3 linked regions of the Rhinolophus ferrumequinum genome follow. The protein of the gene in region 1 binds, or shares a complex with, the protein of each later gene. Links are inferred from orthologs where the notes say so. Each region holds a gene or a part of one and is shown in the gene's direction. Other genes may lie near its edges. The genes, in order: POLR3C, POLR3G and POLR3E.

Region 1 (7,495 bases):
TAAAATTCCCTTCATGGTTTCCCCACATTTCCTATCTTCTTTCTAAATGAAACTTTTGTTCTCTTATCTGGGAGGATCCAAACCAGACACACGAAGCTAAAATGGATAGATTAGGATCAGCAGTAAGGAGTTACTTCACCAAATTCATTCAACCGAATGTGGCTTAACCTGTATAGCTTTAGGCATATTCCAATTTCTCCCTGAAGTTATAGCCAAAACTATTTCTTCTAACATAGACACTAATATAGAGTAGAACTGACAAGAAAAATGATAAAAACCTAAGGTAGTTTCAGGGCAAACGTTAGGTAAGCTATTGCTATTGCCTACACACACTTCCAAATGTATCAAGAAGAGCTGTATCCTAGAGACTGCAGAAGGGAAAAGTAAAAGTTGTCAAAACCTCGCAGCCTAGTCCCACTAACACAATTATGACTCTGCTATGCAGTGAATAAACGGGCAAGACGTGAGATGGCTGTGACGCAGTCTTTCCCACTGATTGGGAGAAGAAACTTACCTACGAAGCTACAGCTCATTAAAAGCTGATGTAAAACTCAGTACTCAGCCTCAGGTGTTCAGAGGACAGCACTCATGGGTGATGGTTCCCGTGATCCAACTTGCACAAAAGTACCCCCTTGAAATGCAAAATAAGTCAAGACAAAGAAAAACTTTATTCGTGTTAAGTTGGGTCTAGCTCTCTTCAAAAAGACATGCAGATTTCCCGAAACTTTCATCCAACTGAAGAAACAATGCATGCCTAATATATGCTGAGTCCTTACAGCGAGGGAATCTCAAGTTTATACAAAAAATTATTTTAAAAATCTTTTCAGCGTGTCCTATACATATGAACAGTCATACTACTGACTTAACAGTGTTTGAGTTAGCGTTTAGCTAGCAACAGAGACAGATTCGTACTGAATCAGCCACTTACTGACCTGTCATTCTTCCAACCAACATTTTCCAGATGACAGTCTGGGTTCAGGAGATAGAAACGGTCATGAAACAAGATGAAGCTCACTGGCTGATCTGCGCATCAAAACTCTACCTCTGACATCACTGCACCTTTTCTTAAAAATGTGTAACAGTGACTTCCTAAATGTTTCTCTCTTCTCCCTCAACTCACTCTTCCTTTCCTCCCTTAGTCTATGCTATTCTCCGCAATCGGAATTCTACCTAGCCTGCAGAACTCAATTTAAAACCCATCTCTCACTCTTTCTTTGGCCTCGCCAATGCTATCATCCGGGATCTCCCTCCCTCTGAATTCTAAAGCACTTCTTACCTATCCCCATTCACCTTATATTGTTAACTATTCCAGTTTGTCTAGTCTTTCTGAGGTCCCTAAGGGCAGGAATGAATTCTAAAGCACTTCTTATCTATCCCCATTCACCTACTATTGTTAACTATTCCAGTTAGTCTTGTCTTTTTGAGGTCCCTAAGGGCAGGAACCACACATAGTCCTAGGTACTGCCTTGAGGACATCTAGCAGAGAACCTAGAACCTTGTGGTATGCAGAAGTAGTCCTGTTAAATTCAATTGTGTTAGGCCTCAATTTACAAACCTGGCATCAGAGATAATAAATCAGACTAAAAAGATCAATAACTTCACCTCTGGGCATCAAACTAAGATTTAGAAAAACACCTGCCGTCTTTCAAATTATCACTTTTCAAGAGCACTTTACAGTGAGGCCTTCAGGTGATTTTAAAAAATAAAAAAAGTTGCGGAAAATTAGACTGTTTTCTAGCTCTTAAAGGCAAATAAGTAAACAACGATTAAAAAGACCAGAAGAAAGAACTAAGGTCACGATGTTCAACAAAGCATCACATTCAACATGTCACTGGTCACACACATACTGGACAAATCCCAGGCTCCATCTTTGTTGACAGCGAGATTTCTGGGGGCTCTGATGTCCCCTGGGAAAAAAACAAGGCACCTGCTCTTCCCCGCACTGAAACATGGCACAAAGCACAGGTGCATGCACACACAAATCCGCAAGCAAACTAAGTAACAAGTACACTGACAAGAAGAAAATTCTGCGATGTTTTAAATTAAAATTACAGAGGCCAGAGTGACAGACAGAACAGTTAGCCTGTTAATAGCTGTGGACCAGCTCTGACAAAAGATTGCTCACATTCCTTCCATTGCCTGAAGGAATTTCGGATTAATTTCCAGGTGGCTATTTCCGCAGATTATTCCAGCCAAGCACCACTGACCTCCAGGAGCCTCCGCTTCTTGTTTACACGTGGGCTTTCCGGACTGCTGCCCACAGCCAATCCACAGGAGGGGACATTTCTTCTTGTGGACTCTGAGCCTATCCCAGAGCTGGCCCCACTTCCCACCCCTTGCCTATAGCTAATGGAATGTAAATTCTCTCAGACAGTTTACACCTTTCTTCCCCCTTCCTGCTACCTGATGTACAAAAACAAAACAAAAAACACTTGCAAACTCCGCAGGTGATGGACATGTCTTCTTTCCTACCAAGCTGGTGGTTTAGACTCGATGCCCCAAGACAGTCTTTTCTTTTGCCTGGCAATAGCCTAATAAACCCTTTCCATTACAAAGACTTGAGACCTAGGCCAATGAAGTTCAAATTTTGTGTTTCACAAGATGAATCTATGAAGTTGGGGCAAACAGAAAGGAAAGAAAATGCCATAAAAGCCTTTAAAAAAAAAAAAGTACAACTTTTAGGTGAAAAGGTTAAAATCCCTTTAGGAGCTTATTCACAGGACTCCATTCGTGTGTCCAAGAAATAAGACACAGACATACTTTAATTCAGTAGGCTTTCTCATAGGTTGTATCAGAGACACTATAGAATTAAGTTGTTAGGGAGACACCCTGGCTTAAGACTGAACCTGGATACTTCCAAGGAAAAGAACCCTAACTAATTCCAAAGATGGGTGGCCAAGAGATTACTATTCACCCAGGTGTGTCTCCCTGAAGAAACTAGGACCCAACCCAAACAGCTTCTGGGGTTGGCCAGCACGCTGCAGAAGCGCTGTCTTCACTACCGCTCTAGGGACGCACTGACCGTCTGGCAGAAACGGGTGAAAACCAATTTATGTCAGAGGACGCGGTCCCCAGCATTCTGTCCTGGATCTTTTCACGAAGAGACAGAATGGGACAGGGGCGGGGCAGGTGGGTGGTGCTCAAGACCCTGGCAGGCCAACAACGACAATACCCAAGTTGAAACAACATGTCCTGCCTTCTTCCTAAAGCCATTTCCTTCAATAGTGAGAGGGAGGACAGTCTGCGAGTCGTTAGTACACTGCTGTTTTCACTTTCACAACAACGCTGGAAACCACTGAAGAGCGAAATCCCCCTCCGCCCCAGTTACCTTCCAACCCTCTTCTTCCCGTGCTTCATTCCCTAGAGACAACCGAATAGAGGCCATCCTCATCGATCCGCTATTTGGCTTCATTAAGGGTAGGGTGTGGGGGGAGGCAAAGGGGAAAAGGAAACAGAGGAAGGCGAGAAGCTGCAGCAGCAGAAAGAGTCTCGACAGGGGCGAGGTCACTGTGGGAAGGACACAAGGTGAGGAAGAGTGCAAGGAAAGTAAGGCGAGTTGTCAGGGGAGAGGACTTGCTAAGGAAGAAAAAAGGTGGAGGGGGGCAGGTCAAGAAAGGAGAGGGCGTGAGGGGCAGGTGGAGCGTCCGAGGGGGGATAAAAGGCGGGGCGGGAGTTCAGGAGCAGCCAGGATCGGGACGCCCGGGGTCTGGGGTCAGCGACCAGAGACAGTGGGCAGCAGCATCTGGGAGACCGATTTCAAGGGTGTAGAGGGGAGCTGAAGACCCATTCCGGGACTCCGGGGCGAGGAATCCACGCCAACGCCAAACGCAGGGGACACTGGGCTCTTACCGGTAGTTTGGGGCTGACCTCGCCCTTGCAGAAGTGGCAGAAAAACCGATGCGCGGCGACGGTGGCGCCTGAGCCCGCCCCGGCCGCCGAGGCCTCCGCCATTTTTCTCTTCCGCCGCGGCGGTCCGAGAGGGCAGCCGGCCCGTCCCTCGCCAGGCCGCTACCTCCCGGGTGCAGTCGATTCCGCTGCCGCCTCGGTCGCCGCTTCCTCACTCTGGCCGGCAGCTCCAGCGCCCAGGTCAGTCACGTGAGGCGGCGGGGCGTCGGCGCGGACTGCGACCCCAAGGCCCGCCTCCAGCACTAAAGAGGCACAGGAAGGAGAGTCCGCCCGCCGGCTCCTCCGACAGCCTTTCGCCTGTCCTCCAACCTACCAGCGAGAAGAGAGAAAGAGCGTCTCCAGAAACCACTGAGACTCTGGGGTAGAGCGGCCCAGGTTTTACCCCTTTCCGGGTCCTCCGCGGTGCCGGTCCTCCTGCGAGAAAGGGCCGAGGGCTCCCCCTGCCATAGCGGTAGCGGGAGCCGCGCGAAGTCGCCGCAGGGAACTCGGCGGCGTTAGATTGCCTTGACCCAGAGGTTAGTGGAAAATGCTGCCTGAACGAGGCGGCCGGCTCTCTGGACCGAGGCACCAAGCCCCGAACGGGAACCTGCGTGAAGGGAGTAAAGAGCCAGGAGCCAAGATCCTTGCAAATCCTTTGCGAGGATGGCAAAGGGTGTGGGGATGCTTCCGCAGAGACGTGTGGACGGGGATACTGAGGCCGAGAGGCAAAGACTTGCTTCTGAGGAATTGGGAGAAATAAATGAACGCACTAATGTTTGGTAGCACTTGGGATAATAAGAAAGTAATTATATAGTCAACTACGTCTATTTCTGTATCTACTTTGTCAAGAAGTAGAAATTTCAGACTATGGCCCTGAAGACAACATACCCCATTTCCTATTTGAAACACCGTGTTGCGAAGCTCTCCTTTACCTCTTAATCTCTTCTAAGTTGTCATTTCCTTTATAGACTGGGAATGACACTGCCTGTTCACTCCCAATGGGCTGTGGTCTTAATTCTTCCAAACAACGAAGTATAGAATCTAAATAAAGTCTGTGACATTGCAAAACCATCTAATCCTATCTTTAAAGAAAATTAGAATTACACACAATCCCATAAAGATCAATGTGATGTATAGTCTTCCAGTCTTGATATGCATACATGACTTTTTATTATTGAATATTTCTCTATATTTTGGGTTGTAGTCTGCTTCTTTCACTTAATGAACAATTTTCGACGCTAGTATATATTATACATCATTTTAAATGTTGAAGTAGTATTCCATTGTGTGGGTATACCATAATTTATTGAATTGATTTCTTATTGTTAATCATTAGGTTGTTTCCAGTATAGCAGTATTCTAAAGAGAACTACAGTGATATCCTTTTATGATTTCCTTAGAGCAGAGTATCCAAAACAAAGTTATTAGGTCAAAGGCTTTTGATATGTAATGTCAGATTGCCCTCCAGAAAGTCCATGAATTTATACTCAGCAGCTCTACTCCCAACATAAAAACTTCCCATCATATAGTCTTTTTTATTTCTTCCTAGCTCCGAGTCCCCTCAGTACAATGACTCAAGCAGAAATTAAACTGTGCTCTTTGTTGTTGCAAGAGCATTTTGGAGAGATTGTGGAAAAAATTGGAGTCCACCTCATCAGAACTGGCAGCCAGCCACTAAGAGTAATTGCCCATGACACAGGAACATCCCTGGATCAGGTATGTTTGGATGATATTAATTTGCTTTCATTTCATTAATTTCTGTTACCTACCTTTGAATATTGTTACTCCCTACCTCACGAAATGGAAAGGGGGAAATCCTGCTCTCGGATCAGACCAGTGTTATTTGGGGGCAAAGGATCCTGGCTCCTCGTGGCTCTTAGGCAAATCTTTGCTCTTCCTTTGCCATATCTCATTTACTGACGTTGAGCCTATTAATCTCAGTAATGCTTTTAAGGAATGAGAATAATAGAGGAGAAATTAATTGTCCTTTGAACGATACAGATCAAAGTATGAGCATCACAACAAGGAATCTTCCTGGTTTCTTCCATTGACATGTGATTTTTATTAGCTATTCCAACGGAGGGAAGAAAGCGCAGAAATTATCTGGTCCTCTCCTGATGCTTAGTACACTGTTGAACAAAAATTGCCAACAATAACGAGCTGTCTCCAGATCTTTTCCCTCTTTCTTTTGGGTCTTATCTAGGTAAAAAAAGCCCTTTGTGTCCTCATCCAACATAACCTGGTGATATATCAAGTACATAAACGCGGTGTAGTGGAGTATGAAGCCCAGTGCAGCCGGGTGTTGAGAATCCTCAGGTACCCCCGCTATATCTATACTGCCAAAACACTGTATAATGACACTGGAGAGCTGATTGTTGAGGAGCTGCTGCTGAATGGCAAAATGACAATGTCAGCTGTCGTGAAGAAAGTGGCAGACCGGCTCACAGAGACTATGGAGGGTTAGTACTGTATCCATAGCTGTTAGCAAAAGCATACATTAGCTGGCTGCAGGAGCGGACCCTCAGCTATCTTCAGCCCTCTCACCTGCTTCTTCCTCCTGTTGTACAGACGGCAAGACCATGGACTACGCTGAGGTAGCAAACACATTTGTGCGACTAGCAGACACACATTTTGTACAGCGTTGCCCTTTGGTGCCTGCCGCTGAGAATTCAGACGCTGGGCCACCACCACCTGCCCCCACTCTTGTCATCAATGAAAAGGACATGTACCTGGTTCCTAAACTGAGCTTGATAGGTAAGGAATTTGAACCCCTGGACTTGTGACTTGCCTTAATTGTAGATTCTTTCTCAATGATTGTTAAATGAATGAATGAAGGAATCGAGCAAATACTTTCTTAGTGATTGTTGAATGAGTGAGTGACTAAATGAATCGAGCAATTACTCTGTGCCAGATACTTTGGTCTAAAATGATGAAAAACCATCAGGGTCCCTACCCTTTCAGGGCGTAAGTCTACTGTATGCAACTTACATTAATCAAATAACCATATAGATGCATAACTAACAAACTGTGATAAATACTGTGAAGGAAAAGCATGAAGTGTTATGCAAATATATAACAGGGGACTGGACTTACTTCGGGACTTGGGGCACATGCTCCTTTGAAAAAGTGGCATTTAAGCTCAGATTTGAAGCAGGAAGTAGAAGCCAACCAGTGAGGTAAGGTATGAAGGGGTACAGAAGATAAACATTTTTGGCAAAAGGAACAGTATACTGAGAAAAGAATAGGGTATTTGAGGAAGCAAAAGCAGGTAAGTTAATTAACGCATGGTGAACAAAGGAAAGCGAACCGTGAGATAAGGTTAGAGATATAGGCAGGGGTTAGACATGCAAGACCTCATAGACTATCTGTTCTTTATCCTAAGAGCAGAGGAAAACCATGAAAGGATTTTAAGTGGGGAAGTGACATAATCTAATTTGCATTCTGTATGCAGAAAGGATAGGGCAAAGGTAAATCTAGACAAACCAGTGAAAAATTAGATCTAGAAGGGGTGAGGGAGACAGAGGTATCAAGAACGACGTCAGTGTGTCTGACTTGGACACGTGGCAGGATGATGGTACCACTCACTGTGAAAGGAAACACTGGAGCAGGA
Region 2 (7,713 bases), on another chromosome or scaffold:
ATCTTTTGTTATCGGTATATATTGAGTATTACAATTTTAATAGTTTTCCTTTCCTAAAATGTGTATACATTTTTTTGGCACCTTCTGTATACTCTCAACTTATTCCTCCTTATTTCTCCTATTTTCCATTTTGAAAATACACATACACACGCTTATTCCTCCTATTTTCCATTCTGAAGACCTGAGCTCAACAGCACTTGGCATCTCTCAATCAAGAAACCTGTTTTACATTCTCCAGAGAACAAACTAACTGGATGGTCATAAACTTAGGAAGAAGGGTTCTAGAGTTTAAATAGTTTCTTAAATGCTTTCAACCCATACTACTTATTTTAGTAGTACTATTCCCTTTGCCCCCACTAAAGTACCTGCTACTGCTAATTCCTTTTAAGGCTCCTGCAGTGCAAACTGGATTGGCTCTTGATTTCCCATTGCTGGAATAGGATAAAACTGCTAACTCAGTTGTCACCTGCCCAGCATCCCAAAGAGTTCGTCAGTCAATGTGGATTTATACTTAAAATGAACAAACCACGGTCCCTTTACAGTAGTCTTAATGGGGTTTTGGAAGGGAGTCAAATTAGATATATTTGCTCATTTTGCTACCTTTCTGGAATCTATTTTTTTTTTTTTTTTAATGTCCCCAAATGATTCAAGTCCACCTGAAACAACTGCTTTATCCTATTGGTGACACTGGGCAAACTGTTTAAACATGCCTAATAGGAGCCAAAATGCCTGCACTTCATTCATATCACTTGAATATTGTGAAAATAGGCAAAATGTGTGCCCATTCAAGAAGAATGTGCTCTATCAATCTAAGGTTTATCACAATCTTCTTAGAGGAAGATACTATTTCACAGGTAGTAGGACAAGTTGTTTTCCATCAAAGATGATGCATTGGGTGATGATTTCTCCTTGTCCTCTTTGTCCCTCATTTACAAGTCATCTTTTGGGTTACAGTGCATATATTTATGCTTCTCTAACACAGGTAATCATCAATTCACCTAAATGAAATTTAATGACTTCAACCTCCATGTTCTAACCAAAGCAATGAAGCTTCTACGCTGTTCGGTATGTGCTGCTGATGTGTGTGTGTGTGACTGTGTATGAATTTTAATATAAATATCTTATATCTCCTTCCAGGCATCAGGATTATGATGATAGCAAGTTAGTAGACCACACCATTCAGAAGAGATGATAAGAAAATTAATATTCTCGAGAAAAGTGGAAATTAGATACTCCTTGACAGAGTGAGGCATCCAGTTCCCAGTGAAAAACAACTTTTGATTTAACACAGTATTATCACCTTCAAAGTGTCTGGTAAATATTAAGCTTTCTTTTCATACCTTCAAAGGCTTAAAGCACCAAACAGGTAGCTTGCAGGCCCCTTGCAGCTCCAAAATGCTTTAATTATAATTATAAGGCTATAATTCTAGCAGCAACTTGGATTTTGGAAACCTGGATTCTATTCCCAGCTCTTTCCCAAAGTGGCAGTGTAATCTCAGGTATGATATTGAGGCCTGCTTAGACTGTTCATCTAGGAAACATCAATTCCTATCACTGTTTCACCATTGATTTCCTATTGCTGGCAGAGAGAAAAAGTAAATAAACCAAAAAGTAATTTATTCGTGTAGACAATTTAAATATATTTTAAATAATAATGTAAACATTTCTTGTGGAATGACAGAAAATATTTATTCTGAATACCCGTCAACTACATGGAAATCTTACCTCTAAAAGTATCAGTTCTATCAAGATATACAGTAATTAAAAGTATATTTAATGTAAATGTACTTTTTTCCTCTCAAATTGTTAGGTAATATAAGATTCCCCTCTCAACCAGTTTTTTTTTAACCCTTAGATTTAAATTTTAAATGGAAAGACTTTGGATAGGGTGTGAGATATAGAATCTTGCTTTATATTTTTTATATCTCAAGTGATCAGAATCTCACCTGTAAGATAAACTGATTTTCGTAAAATATTTCATTATTTGTCATATTGGTTGGTCATAAAGTGAGAGTATTACATAGCAGTAGCTGGATTTTGCTACCTCTTCGAAGAATATTTTAATAAATTAAATTGGCAATTAAAATGGTTTCAAGATAGAGTGGGAAAAGGGGGTTTCACATCCTACTTGGAATTACCATAATATAGTTATGCAGTAGGATTTTTGTATGATCTGCATGCTTTGACATATTGTGCCTTGGTTCAAATCTTAGCTTTTGTCATTATTAACCACCTCACTTCAAATATTGAGAGAATAAAATGAAATCAACGAAAGTATTCTAAAAAGAAAAAAGGAAATTAATATACAAATATTGCTTCTCTGTCCAATTAGCTGAATTATTTAAGTGCCTGCATAGTGTTCGGAGGACAGGGGCCCTACTCGTATTTTGTTCCATTAGTTTCTCTCTGAACCCTATTCTATGTTACATGGGGTCTAAGAAGCCCAGGGCTACCGATGCATTAGTCCACATACTTAACCATCACCTGCAATAATCTCCGTGTTAATCTTTCCCAGGCCTTGCTTTCAACCAGACCAGATATCTATCAAAATGTAAGACTCAGACATATTCTACTTTTTATGTACCCTACCTGGCTCTTTCTCTGGTGAGGCAACATCAAGAACAGAAATCTATCTGGAAGATAAAGATGCAAGAGCAGATGGCAACCACTGTTCTCTAATGGCTTTCTAAACCTACAGGTGGGAATTGCTCATAGCCGGCGGTCACTGAGCAGATGAAGTCAGCAATTCGCAAAAGCAGAGAGCATGACATGCACTCTCCTTGAGGCGTCATTCCTTAAAAGTCTTCTCTCTAGAAAAGCGCCTGGAAATGTCTGACAGGTGTACGGGAAAAGAACGGGAAATTCCTAGTCACGAGTCTCTGCGGCGTTACTACTACACCTCGCAGAGGAAACGGACAAGGGGGTGGGGCCGGCTTTCATTCGAGTACTCAGCTTTGCTACACCGTGCCAGAGCTAGTCTCAGGTAGGGAAGGCTGCGATGGCCTTGGCTCTGGTCGAGTGTCAGTGCAGGTAGAAACAAAAGTGGTGTTTCTGAAATGTAGCAAAACAAGCCCCCTCACAGCCACGCACATCTGCAACATGCATCCCTCGGACAGTTTCTTCCCAACCCCCTCCCGTAATGAGAGAGCGCGCGCCCGTGAGGGCCCATTACCATCCTGCAGGATGAGGGTGGGCTGTACCGCCTGCACTCGGAATTGCCTGGCCCTCCAGCCGGGGCTGGGCGCCCGTACCACCTCACTATCGGACAACCAGGTCACGGTCTCAAAGTTGTCCCCGCGAGCCAGTGCCTCGGCCTCGGCGTGGTGCACGGCCACCCGGTCGAACTGGTAGAGACCACCGGAGTGGTCGAAGTGCACGTGGGTGGCCACCGCCAGCAGCGGCCGGCACGCCGCGTCCTCCTTGGCCCCGCCGTCCTGCAAGAGGCCGGAGGAGTACAGGTATTCCGGAAGGCTGCGCAGCCCCAGGCCCGTGTCGATCACCACGTCCTGCTCGGAGCCGCGCACCAGCCAGATGTTGGCACGGTTGCCAGACTCATAGAAGCGTTCCTGAATCCAGAAGATGCCGTCGCCCAGGGACTTGTGGGCGTACCACTCGAGCGCCGACATGCTGGGAAGAGGTGCAGGAGGGGTGAGTGTGGGCGTGTGTGCCTCCCGCAGGCTGTCCAGACTCCGGGCGCTGCGGCGGCGTGGAGCGGTCTGCCGGCAGCCAGGGAGGTGGCGCAGAGCAAGGAGGGGGAGGGGGATGCGGGTGGTGCAGGGGGTGCGGGGGATGCGGGGTGTAGAATTAGGAGGAAGGAGGCACCTAGACACTGCCTGTCGTGGTCGCTTTACTCCCACGACAGGTCCGCAGAAAGCAGAGGTTGTTCTGCCCGCCCCCGGGCGCTGGAGGAATCGCAGCCTCTGTAGCCGCAGCACAGGAAGGCGTTAACGCTTGGACCACTGGAGACCTACAAGGCGACCCTTCCCCAACCTGGGGGCGTCTAACTGCAGAGGCCGGGAGCTAGTCGTAGAAGGCACCAGATCCGCCCACCCACCGTGCGCCGCTATGCGCACTTCCAGCCCGCGCAGAGTCAGACCTTGCGGGTTGGACAGCTACGGCGCCTGCCAAGGGATAAAAAGCTCTTCGCCCAGCGGGCGGGGCCTAGCTAGGAAGTGGGCGGGGCTAACTGGTTGGGTTCCGAATTGGGCTCCGAGGCCTCGGGGAGGGCGGAGCGCGCTTCTCCAGAGGTGGAAACTGCGCCGGGCGCCGGCGCGTTCTGTCCGCACCCCTTCCTTGCCGGCCGGCGCTTCGGCTGCACAGTTTTGCCCAAGCCTCCGAGACTTAGTGAGCAGGTAACAGAGGAAGCAATTGAGGGCTGGGAAGGAGATGGAGAGGGTAGAGGGGAATTAAAGGGGCACATGGAAAGGTGGGGGAAGTCGGGTGGAAATTCATTGACGCGCTTCTCGGTTGAGGTGCGTTGAGAGATAGCTTTACCTCCCCTTCCAATCCCTTCAAAATCTTTTAAAATCATCGTTTCCATATCTTACCTAGTCGCCACTTCCTGGGACTGTTTGCAGTGAGTTAGAAAGGAATTAGTGCTCTTACTGATTGATGGTAGATTTTCAAATCCGGTGACTATACGATTGGTTCAGGCATGAATCATTGCCGCAGGCTTGCAGCTAAGGACAGACTATTCTGTATGTTTTCGTAATTGTTGGCACTTTATCCTGTATCATGGAGAGTGGGGTTGTCAATGAAGTTTTTTTCCTCTTCTGAAAAATTAAATTCTATATTCTTTCTCCACCCTCCTTTTTTAAGTTTATCCGCTCTTGGAAGAGAGCAAAGAGAGTTGATAGGCTCAACTAAGAAAAGTGGAGGCAGCCACACCTTGTGAAAATAAAAAAAAAGTGAATAATAACTGGGTGTGGCCCGCCAGCCACATAAATCACCCTCAGTATTAAAGCCAGGCCCCTTTCTCCACTCCGCACCTCTCAACTATTGAAATACCATTTAGGCTGCAGAAATCCCCTTGAGAACTTGACTAACCTCCCTACTCAGCCAGGAAAAATTTTATAGACTCATGAGACAGCATTATAAAAGAATTATGAAAAACCCTTATTGTGGCAGCTTACTAGTAAGCCTTCATACAAGGAGATGTGTACTCTCCTCCCCTAAGCTCCTAAAGTTTTTGGTGGGGACGCAGCCTTTCTGAATATATTCCTAACTTAGACTTTTTCCAGTCACTCTGTTCAGGGCTACCCTTAGTGCAAGTCCTAGAGCTAGATGTGTAAAGAACAGAATTGTGTAAAAAGATCATAATCTGGGTTCTCAAGAATTTGAGGGAAGACAGTGGGGGATATAAAATTTCTATTAATACAGTCGAAGAAAGAGACAAACGAGTGAAACTTCTTCCTTTTGGAAAAGGCCTATTTCCCAAAAGGGGAATACCTGTGTTCCAGAATTGATGAGTGTAGTAATACATATCACCTGGAGTTTTAAGAATCCATTTATTTTAACAGGAGGATCTTACCAAGAGCAAGGAGGGATGAAATGACTCTTGCTGATGTTGAGCAACTTAAACTGCATCTATAAGGTTAAAAAAGGGGCGCAGCCAGGCAGGGCAGAAGGGGAGTAGGTGCAGTGGAGAGAATCATGGTCAGGACATGATTACAGAAGAATGAGTCAGGAGGATAGGTGCAGCCATCTTAAAAGGGCTCTGAATATTTGGATAGGGAGTTTGGATTTAATTCTCTAGCCTAGAGGCAAAATAGGGAGAATAATATATAATCAGAATTATGCTTTAGGATGAATATTTTGGAAGAATAAATTAAAACAAACAGGAAGAACAAGGGATATTACAAAATTTGCAGTTAATCAAAGTGAGGTGGGAAAGAGCTAAGCTGGATTATGGTAGAAGAAATAGAAAGGAAGGGACATTTTGAAGGAAGAATTAGATGATGGATTTGATAGTAGGGGTGGAACAGAATGAGAAATCGGTACTGAGTCACTCCAAATGTTCACATGTTGGTGTCTGGGAAAATAACATACCATGGGTAGAAATAGGGACCTTATATATGAAAGGTAAGCTAGTTAGTGTAGGGGGAAGATGAACTCAATATTTTAAGTTTAAGGTACTGTCCAAATATTTTTCTGATAGTAAGAGCATGTGCTGAAACTCTGGATAAAGGTCATTGCTGGAGGTAATGGAGAGGGAGAGGTCATCAAACCCCAAGAGTGGGTGCATTTCTGAAGAGCAGGAGACCAAAGATCGGACTTTAAGGATATCCATACTTAGGGGGTTTAAGAAGAGAAGTAGACCAAAAAAAGTGTTCATTGGGGTAGGAGAACTGGAGTTTTATTAAAGCCTAGGAAAGAGAGTTTCAAAAGAGAGAAGGCAGTAATCAGATGTGCAGTTCAGAAGTCCAAGAACATGAATGAGGACAAAAGGCCAGTGGATTTTGCCATGAGGACCATTGTGACCTTTGCATTTCTGAATCTCCGTGAGTGCAGTTCCCATCATAAGTAAGATAAAAGCCAAACCCTTTACCACAGCTCCCACAGGGCTCCACAAGCTCTGACCTTGACCAGCCTCTCCCCACTCCTCACCAGCTACATGGGCTTCTTGTTCTTCAGACACTCCCAGAGCTGTGGCTTCCTCCTCTGCACTTGCTGTTGCTTCTCTCTGTAATCATCTCCACCCCATCCATCCATCTTACGGCTCCCAGGCTTACTCCAGCACAGTGCTCAGATTTATCCTCCACAAAAAGACCTTTCTTTTATGCAAAAGCCACTACCATACTCCTTTGTTATCCCTTTACCATGATTTGTTTTCTTTCCATAGCTGTATTGATTTCCTAGAGCTGCCCTAACATGTTACCACAAATCGGATGGCTTAAAACAACAGAAATTAATTCTTACGCTTCTAGAAGCCAGAAGTCTGAAATCAAGATGTCAGCAGGTGTGTTCCTTTTGGAGGCTCTGTGGGAGATGCTGTTCTATACTTCTCTCCTAGCTTTTGGTGGTTCCTGGCACTCTTTGGTGTTCCAGGCTTGCAGCTGCAGCACTCTAATCTCTGCCTCCATCTTCACATGGTGTTTTCACTGTGTGTTTCTCTCTTTCTATTCAGATTTCCCTTTTATAAGGATACCAGTGATTGGAAGAGGGCTCATCTTAATCCACTATGACTCCATCTTAATTCGATTACTTATGCAAAGACTTTTTCCAAATAAGGAAGGTCACATACAGCTATTGGCAGTTAGGACTTTGACATATTTTTGAAGGGGCACAATGCAACTCACAACAAGAGCACATAATATTATGTTACAGACTTATTGGTTTATTTGTGTGTGTTCTTTCATCCACTGGAATGTAAGATCTGAGGGCAGTGACCTGGTTTTGTTCAATGCTGTCTGGGTGCTAACCACAGTGCCTGGAATGCTCAATATTGGTTGAATGGATAAGTGACTCAATGAAATTGGCCCATATGAAGTGTAGGAAGATTTGGTCAATGAGAAAAGGGGAAAGCTGGTTTTAAAAACACTTCATTCAAGACGTTTGGCAGGATGAAAAAGAAACAAGGAAGTTGTTGAATCAACAAAGGATTTCGAAGACTGATACTTAGGCCTCACTTGTGAGCCTTTCTTTCCATGATACAGTTACCAGAGTCAAAGGACTGCTTCTCCGCTTTACAAGAGAATAAAATGAATTTAGCAG
Region 3 (7,999 bases), on another chromosome or scaffold:
CACCAGTAACACTGGAAGTTGGAAGATGATGCCGTCTATATTCTTTCTGGAGAAGGTGCTCTTTCACATGAAACCGTATGCCCAAACCATTAAGTTTAAGGGTAGAATAAAGATGTCTTCAGACATGCATGTTCTCAAAAATAATCCCCCAGGTACTCATTCTGCAGAAGATACTGGAGGATTTGCTCCACCCAAAGAGGGACTAACAAGAAATGTTTGACATCCAGAAGAGTGAGGCCACGTCAGTTCCCTGGATGAGGGGGAAGGGTGATCCCAACTTGCCCTGAACCGCCAGCTGACTGCCCCTGCCAGGAGGCTTTGGGAGAAGTGTCTTCAAGAAGCTGAAGCGATACATTACCTCATGTGCCTGTGTGTCCACAATTAGAAGGTGAATTAGGGATGAATTCATAGAAACTAGGTAAGCTTTTTTTTTTTTTAAGAAGGCAATTATGAACAATAAACAATATTCTCCAGAAAAGGAAGAACGGTTATAGTTGCGGGTATAGTTAAGCTCAAGCTTAGTGAATAGCATTTGCTAATTATGGCTCAAATGAAATTACAGTATGACTGTTAGGGGTGTTGGAGTAAGGGGAGTGTTTGTGGTGGTGGAGGTGGCTAGAGTTAAATTCTTGTCCTCATTAGTAGGAAGTCAACAGAGAATGCCTAAAACTGATAGGGGAAAAAAGCAGGAATATAAGCATATTGTTTAGACCTATGGAGAGAAATATCATACCAGAAGAATCTGCCAGAAGTTGGAAGTGCTTGCCTGGGGCTAGAGGGGTAGGCATACTGCTAATTTTGATAATAAGCCTTGTAGGATGGATAGTGGACTCATGTACAACTTTGATAACGTTATCAAATTAAAGAACTTAAAATATTTACTAAGTTAAAAATACTAATTTCGCTAAATTAAAAATTCATTATAGTAATTAATATATTGAGCATCTACTGTTTGATTGAATCTGAGACACCCTTGATCTTAAGATGCACCATTATTTGATGAATTAATAAGAAAAACACTGAAAATAAACTATATGACATTGATCATAAGATGTAGGTCAATTTTCGACATATTAAAATGTGAAAACGTGTCTTAGAAACAATGATGTATGTCAGACATTGGGCTGGGTATATACAGTTATCTCTAACCCGGCGACAAACCTCAGTATTGTGACCATTTCACAGATGAAAAAAAGGAGGCTTAAAAGGGTCATATGGGGAAAGCATTTGCCAGGAATGTTTTGATTGATCAAGAAAGAAAGAGGTTCAAAGATCAGATGTCATCGTAGTCCCAACATAAACAGTGCCGACTGATGCTTGATTCCCATGACCTAGCAGCATCTTCCCAAGACACCAGAAGTATTTCCAAGGCTGAACTTCCCAGGAATTGATGGAAGGGTGCCACCAGTCATGGAACCTGCAGTTTGATCTGACTCAACACAGGAAATCTCATTCAGGTCTGTCAGATGGAGCTTTGAGTGGGCAAGGTGTAAGATGAACGCATGTCCCAGTTTACCAGGGAGTTCTGATTCATGCCCGTGAATTAAACATTTGTTTCAGAAAAAAAGTGCCATGGTCACCGTGGTAAGGGTATCAGTGCTCTGTTCACAACTAAAGGGACAAAGTTCCTTTGGGGGAGGCCTAGGTGGTCACGTCGATTTCTTGGTTGCAGGTAACAGAAATCAAAGCTGGTTAGCTTTAGCAAAGAAGCAATTTGGGGGGAAGGGAGTGGTCTACAGAATGGAAGGTAAAACTGAAAGAATCAGACCTCAGAAGCAGAGGTACCAGGGCAAGTGTGGAGGAGATCTAGGAAGCAGAAGGTGACAGATTAGAACAATCTAAAGGAAAAGAAAAGAATGTTTGGTTTAAGGTCACTGACAAATGACCCGTCAACTGGGTGGGTAGAGAACGCATTTCCCAGCACAAATCTCAATACTAGTGATTTCATAAGAAAAATGCTTAAGCATTTTTATTAGGAATGTTCATTTCTTTCCAGAAGAAGATTCATGTGGCAAGAAGGTTTGGTCTCAGACCAGGTTTGCAATGATTTTCCTTGGACAGGTGCAAGGGAGTGAAGTGTGGAGGGGGTTCAGACTGAGCCTCCTTGCCTTCGTCACTGACCACTGCTAAGGGCTTACGATACAGAGACAGACACAGACACCCTTCATCTGACAGCCCCTAGATTGGCAGAGGGGGACAAGTGGGCAGTGTTTGATCTGGGGTGCTAGCCTTTCTCCCCTCCACCTGCCCCATTAGTCAGGGACAGGGAAGTAAACGCACCAAGGGATAGTCCAGGGTTCAGCCCTTCCCTCCCTCCCCTTACCTAGAGCTCCTGGGACCCTGTGGGTCCAGGAGTTCTGATGCAACATTCCACTTCAATCCCACCTCTGATGGTCACCAGACAGCTGTGTGATGGGGCTGCCAGACTGCAAGAAACTCCCTTAAGTATCCCATTCAGCATGTACTGTAGGGACAGACCTGAATTGCTACAGAATGCTCTGGCAGAAATATCTCTAGCATCATTTGATTCCTTACCATGTGAGGGTGAGGTTTATTGGTTACAACTGACAGCTACCAGGTAGCACCAGCTTTAGCAGAAAAGGGCTTTATTACAACGATACAGGGTTGCCTCCGGGAACGTGAATCCCACTGGGTCCTGGGAAGGGTCCTGAGCTGGAAGCCAGAAAAGCAGGACTTCTCTATGACTCTGCTCTTTTCATTTCGTTGTTCTGTCTTTTCCCACGCACTGGTGTTTCTCTCCTCCGATCCACCTCACAGACTGGCCACCCCACGTACACCTTTCTCCCTAGTCCCACTCAGTCTCAGAGACTAACTCCAACTCTGAAAACAGTCAAATGAACAAATCAGGAACTCACCCTGTCCCAATTCAGATTCTCAAAAGAGAATCTGTGTGGTCCAACCTGAGTTGCCTGTTCCCATGGAACCCACTGACCGGGGTGTGGGGCAGGGATGCACGGCACAAAGGTGGGTGCCAGGGACCCACTCTCTGGGCTGATCAGGCAATTCCTAGAAAAGTGGCATTACGCAGAGACCCCTTATCCTGCACTATGGGAACTTTTCCGTTTGGAAAACCCAGCACACAACTCACAAATACAGTCCTTCCTGGCTCTACAGCCTCATGACTAAATCAGTGCTTCGATTGATCTCAGGGACGATCCCTCATTTAGCTTTAAACCCCCCACAATGCCCAGCCTGTATCCCCAATAAACGGCTACTTCTGTATTTTTAAAAAAATGCCTTTAAAAACAACAAACTCTCCTAGAGCAATGAAATCTTTGCATAGCAACACTTATGTTAAAAGTAAATGGAGAAATAAAACCAGGTTAAAGTAGACTTGAAGAGTAGAAATATGGAATGTTAAGTCGTGTGCACAAATGTTAACTTGTGTGCCAACTGGATATTAACCAGAAACTTGAATATAACAATATAAACAACTTAAAATGACCATATTCATAGTATGGAACAGATTAGATCTATATGTGCCATAATAGACCTAAAAAACATAATGTTGGAGTAAAACAAGTTGCAGAATGATACTGGTACACAGTAGTAATGTTTACATAAATGAAAAACATAATAGAAGACTGTACTATACATTGTTCATGGGTATATACACACACACAGACAGACACACACACACCCAAATATTTATATAGACATGGAAGTGTCAGAAGTGGATTGGAAGGATACACATCAAATTCATGACAATAGTTACAACAGGGCAGAATGTTTGGGAGGGGGCTTTATTTTTATTTCTAATGGTGTAATATAATTTTTAATGGATTTTTAAAAGGACAACATATTCATACCATTCCCTGCGTAATAAAAGTGTATACAAAGGGTAAGAATTGGAAGTGAAATACCATAATATTAAGAGGGTGGGAATATGGATGGTTATTTTTTCCTTTGTACTTTTTCTGTGTTTTTAAACACCTGTATACATCAACATGGATAGATGTTTCAAAAATACAGTTGGGTGAAAAAAATCCAGTGCATATCAATACCAATAGTATGATAATATTTATGTAAAAACCCATGTTCACTAAAAACAAAACATCTCTTTTCTACAGATACCTATATCTGTATGAATATATCCAAATAAATTCACAGCAAAAAATACAAAGGCTGTATACTAAGCTGATGACAATGGTTACATCTGCGGAGGTTACATCTTAGGATGGGGTCAGAGGTTTTAATATCTTGCAATAATTCACGTATTATTTGTGCCCAGCTCCCCTGGGGTAGCCTTCGAAGCCCCTGGTGCGGGTTACTGCCGGAACCCATCATTTCTCCCTGAGATTCCTAACCCGAGTCGCGTGGGTTAACCTAAACTCTCCTGGTTAAACGCCCGACTCAATACAAGCTCTTAAACTGCTTTGCACTTTAAAACCTATCAGGAACAAGTCTGGGCCTAAATAGCAGAGCAAATATTTTCTTTTAACTACATGTATTCTAAATACTTTCATCACGAGCAAAAAAAACCACATATTAAACTAGTAACGTGGCGTTACAATCGCTTGTAAAGATGTTAAATAGCTCTCTGGAAAAAGGAGGCATCACACAGGTAGCGTGGCCGAGCGGTCTAAGGCGCTGGATTAAGGCTCCAGTCTCTTCGGGGGCGTGGGTTCGAATCCCACCGCTGCCAGGATCACCCTTTTGCCCCTGGGGCCTTCATGCCACGTTCTTCTCCGCTCTGTTTTGCAGGTGCACCAGCGCCCCCTGCTGCCCGCGGAGCTAGCGGCCGGCGTGAATGGAGCGACGCAGGGGGCGGGCCCGCGCGGCGCCGGGGCGGGGCATTGTGGGTAAAAGGAAGCGTGCGGCCGGGCGTGCTCCTCCCACGTGTCCGCTGGAGTTTCTCCACTGGCAACATGGCCGCTGCCTGAGCAGAGAGCCCAGCCGCCGCCGCTTGTGCAGCCCGCGGGGACCTAGGCCGTTGCCGCCGCCCGCGCGTGGCCGCCGCGGAGAGGTGAGTTCGCGGTGGCAGCGCTCGCCGGGCCTGAGCCGGGCCACACGCGCGAGCTGGGCCGGGGCTGTGCTGCGGAGTAGGCCGGGAGGCCCGCGCTGTGCCCGGGGGCTGTGGCCACCCGCACTCGTGCGGGAGGGACAGGCAGCCGGCGCCGGGAGACCCAGGCCGGACGCGCACTCCGACGTCGGCCCGGTGTCCGGGAGGCCGCGGCCTCGGGCGGTGACTCAGGATCCAGCCGTCTTGCCCCGCTCGGCCCAGGCGGGCCTCCGGCGGGGACACCTGTCCTGAGGAGGCCCGTGTCCGGCCAGCGTGGCGGCCGGTGGTGGTGGCTGCGGGGGCGGGGCGTGAGGAAGGGGCCTGACCGCGCGTGGGGGAGGCGAAACCCACTGGACGGTGCGGGTCCGCGCTGCGGCCCGCCCCGCGTGGCCGGGGGCGGCCGATACCAGCCTGCGGGCGTCGCCGCTGATCCCCAGCGGCCCGGTCCGGGCGTTCCGCGTCCGCCGCCCTGGCCCCCGCTCGGCGTTCGTTCCTGACGGGTCCGCCGGGCCGGTGTCAGTGGTGTGAGCGGGTGGGTTAAACCAGTAAACACCGACGGGGCGGTTGGCTCGGGCGTCGTCGGGATGGGGCAGAAAGCGGAGGTCTGAGCAGTCGCTCCGGCTTCGTCACCTGTGAAACAGGCTCGGACTTTTCTCCCTCCCTGGACTGTGGTGAAGGCTGAGGACGGTGACACGGGGGGTGGGGGGGCCCCAGCCTGCAGCGTGCGGTGTGCGGTTGGGTCCCAGACCCTTTTACGTGGAAGGAAAACAGGTTGCCTGCTGGTCACAGGCCGCCCCAGGTCACATCGATTACGGTAGTTAACTCTCATCACCGGCCTCTGGGGGCCGGGACGTGTCACCATGTGGAGGATGAAAAGGGTGAAAGTCCGGGTGGGCCGCGGGCGGCGAGCGGCACGCGTGGGGCTTGAACCTGTGCCGCGCAGCTTGGGAGTCTGGGCTCTTACCCACCAGGCCAAGCTCGCTTCTGTGAGCCGGGGTGCAGCACAGCAGTTAGGAATGAGAAGAAGGATCTTGGCCATTAGCTCGACCCGGGGTTCTGTGCTGCTGCTGTCATTCATTCCCCCGTGTCGTGACCTTGGCAAGCTACTTACGCTCCCAGCCCCCGTGTCCTCTCTCCGTGATCGTGGCCAGTCTTGACTTAGGGGGCTCTGGAGGAGGTTCAGTGAGAACGTATGCCAAGTCCTCTCTAGACAAGGGTCCGACCGACCCTCCTTTAGGCTTAATTAGTTCTTCTCGTCCCCTAGGCCAACTCTGCCATGACACAGGTGGAATCGGGTGACGCAGAGGGGAGCTGCCTTGTCCAAGGGGCCTACAGCGAGTTAGAAGCCAGGCCTTGAGACTGTTCGTCCTGGGGCCCTGTCCCCTCAAGTCCTTTGTGTTTTGTCCTCGCAGACCTCTCCCTCCCTCACCAGCTTTTGGAGTTGCCGCTGCTCTCTGATTGGCCGACAGGTTAGACTCCTGGGTGCAGCACAGATGCCCCCCATTGTGGCCTTCAGGTACCTCTGCTCTGGACCCCTCTTAGCTCCATCTGGTGTCCATTTGTTGAGCAGCTCTCTGCGGAGGGAAGTATCTTGTGTCCAAGGCCACAGAGCCTCTGTCACCGAGTCCCCTTGTGGCCACAGGACACCCTGCGGAGGCCCAGGTGGTTGGGTCTGGCGGGGGTGCTTGGCTTGTGGCTGGGTGGCCAGTCCCTGGCTGTTCTCAAGGGTCCAGGAGGCCACCCCTCTCTGCTTGGGGCGGAGTTAGGCCCACTGGGTTGAGGCTTTGTGACTGCCTGCTTCCATCCATTCGTTTACTCGGTTGTTTGAACTTCACTGAGCACCCTTCATGCCAAGCCCTGTTCTAGGTGTTGGAATAACGGTGAATTTCAAGAGAGAGAATGACCCCCTGACAACTTGAAGTAAGTGTGACTCTCCCCACTTTCCGGTGGGAGCGTGGAGAGGCCCTCCTGCAGCTCACAGTCTAGTGCAGAAGACTGATACATATGCAAATAGACGCGGTAGCTCCAATGGTGAGAAGAACCATGAAGGGAACAGAGCAGGGAGATGTGGTAGTGACTGGGGCGGGGATTGGGGTGCAGATGCTTTAAGATGGGGTGGTCAGGAAACCTGTGTGTGGGTGGGGGTAGTGGTGACATCATGAAAAGGAGCCAGCCTGAAAAGACCCGGGGAGCAGAGGTGATGTGCAAAGGTCCTGAGGCAGGCTGGGCTTGCAGGCCCAGCAGGAGGCCCACCTGCCTAGGTGGGTGATGAGGGAGAGGCAGGGGCAAGATCCCCTAGGGCCTTGGGAGGGCATTTGGGTTTTAGTCTGTGTGACAGCCGACGGGTTTTGAGCAGGGAGACGATGTGATTTACCCTTTTATCAGGACAACTCTGACTGTTTCTGGAAGGACTGGAGGTAGGAAAGAGAGACCACAGGAAGACTTGCTAGAGCAGTACTTTCCAAATTGTGGGTGAAGATTTATTTCAAATTGTGGGATGAGAAATCAACTTAGGGGGACATTAACCAGCACTTTTCATTTTCATGAGCAAGGGTAGAAACCATCACTGTATCACTTAGAGCACTGTGTTTCCCCGAAAAGAAGACCTAATATAAGACCCGCTCTTATGTCTTACATTAATGTTTGCTGCAAAAGACGCATTAGAGCTGATTGTCCGGCTAGGTCTTGTTTTCGGGGAAACATGATATTAATTTCTGCTCCAAAAGACGCTTTAGGGCTTGTGTTTAGGGGACATCATCCTGAAAAATCATGCTAGGCCTTCTTTTCTGGGTAGATCTTATTTTTGGGGAAACATGGTAGGACAGTTACGGCTGTGAGCCCTTGTTGTAGGGACGTAATTGTACGTATGTTCTGGGCCGTTTCTGTGAGATGGTTTCTTACTGGGGCCTTACTTAGGCTGAAAACCTTGCGAGCCAGCGAGTGGGGGGTGTTGGGTAGGAGGGTGAAGGTTGGTGA

Evidence for each region.
Region 2: POLR3C (region 1) and POLR3G share a complex: the UniProt entries of both Homo sapiens proteins name them as parts of the RNA polymerase III complex. The link is inferred for Rhinolophus ferrumequinum from reciprocal best matches to the Homo sapiens genes POLR3C and POLR3G.
Region 3: POLR3C (region 1) and POLR3E share a complex: the UniProt entries of both Homo sapiens proteins name them as parts of the RNA polymerase III complex. The link is inferred for Rhinolophus ferrumequinum from reciprocal best matches to the Homo sapiens genes POLR3C and POLR3E.

What each region holds. Positions count from the first base shown.
Region 1 is NC_046305.1:50,080,918-50,088,412, forward strand, and holds the start of POLR3C (DNA-directed RNA polymerase III subunit RPC3), read left to right. Parts: upstream 1-4,269; 5' UTR 4,270-4,421; intron 4,422-4,511; exon of another isoform or gene 4,512-4,687; intron 4,688-5,434; 5' UTR 5,435-5,454; coding exon 5,455-5,601; intron 5,602-6,088; coding exon 6,089-6,344; intron 6,345-6,453; coding exon 6,454-6,639; intron 6,640-7,495. Other genes in the region: E3 ubiquitin-protein ligase RNF115, read right to left, coding at 3,850-3,951. UniProt on the Homo sapiens protein: DNA-dependent RNA polymerase catalyzes the transcription of DNA into RNA using the four ribonucleoside triphosphates as substrates.
Region 2 is NC_046290.1:59,272,245-59,279,957, forward strand, and holds the start of POLR3G (DNA-directed RNA polymerase III subunit RPC7), read left to right. Parts: upstream 1-4,231; 5' UTR 4,232-4,352; intron 4,353-7,713. Other genes in the region: acyl-coenzyme A thioesterase MBLAC2, read right to left, coding at 3,173-3,626. UniProt on the Homo sapiens protein: DNA-dependent RNA polymerase catalyzes the transcription of DNA into RNA using the four ribonucleoside triphosphates as substrates.
Region 3 is NW_022680357.1:16,769,689-16,777,687, forward strand, and holds the start of POLR3E (DNA-directed RNA polymerase III subunit RPC5), read left to right. Parts: upstream 1-4,853; 5' UTR 4,854-4,987; intron 4,988-6,287; 5' UTR 6,288-6,492; intron 6,493-7,999. UniProt on the Homo sapiens protein: DNA-dependent RNA polymerase catalyzes the transcription of DNA into RNA using the four ribonucleoside triphosphates as substrates.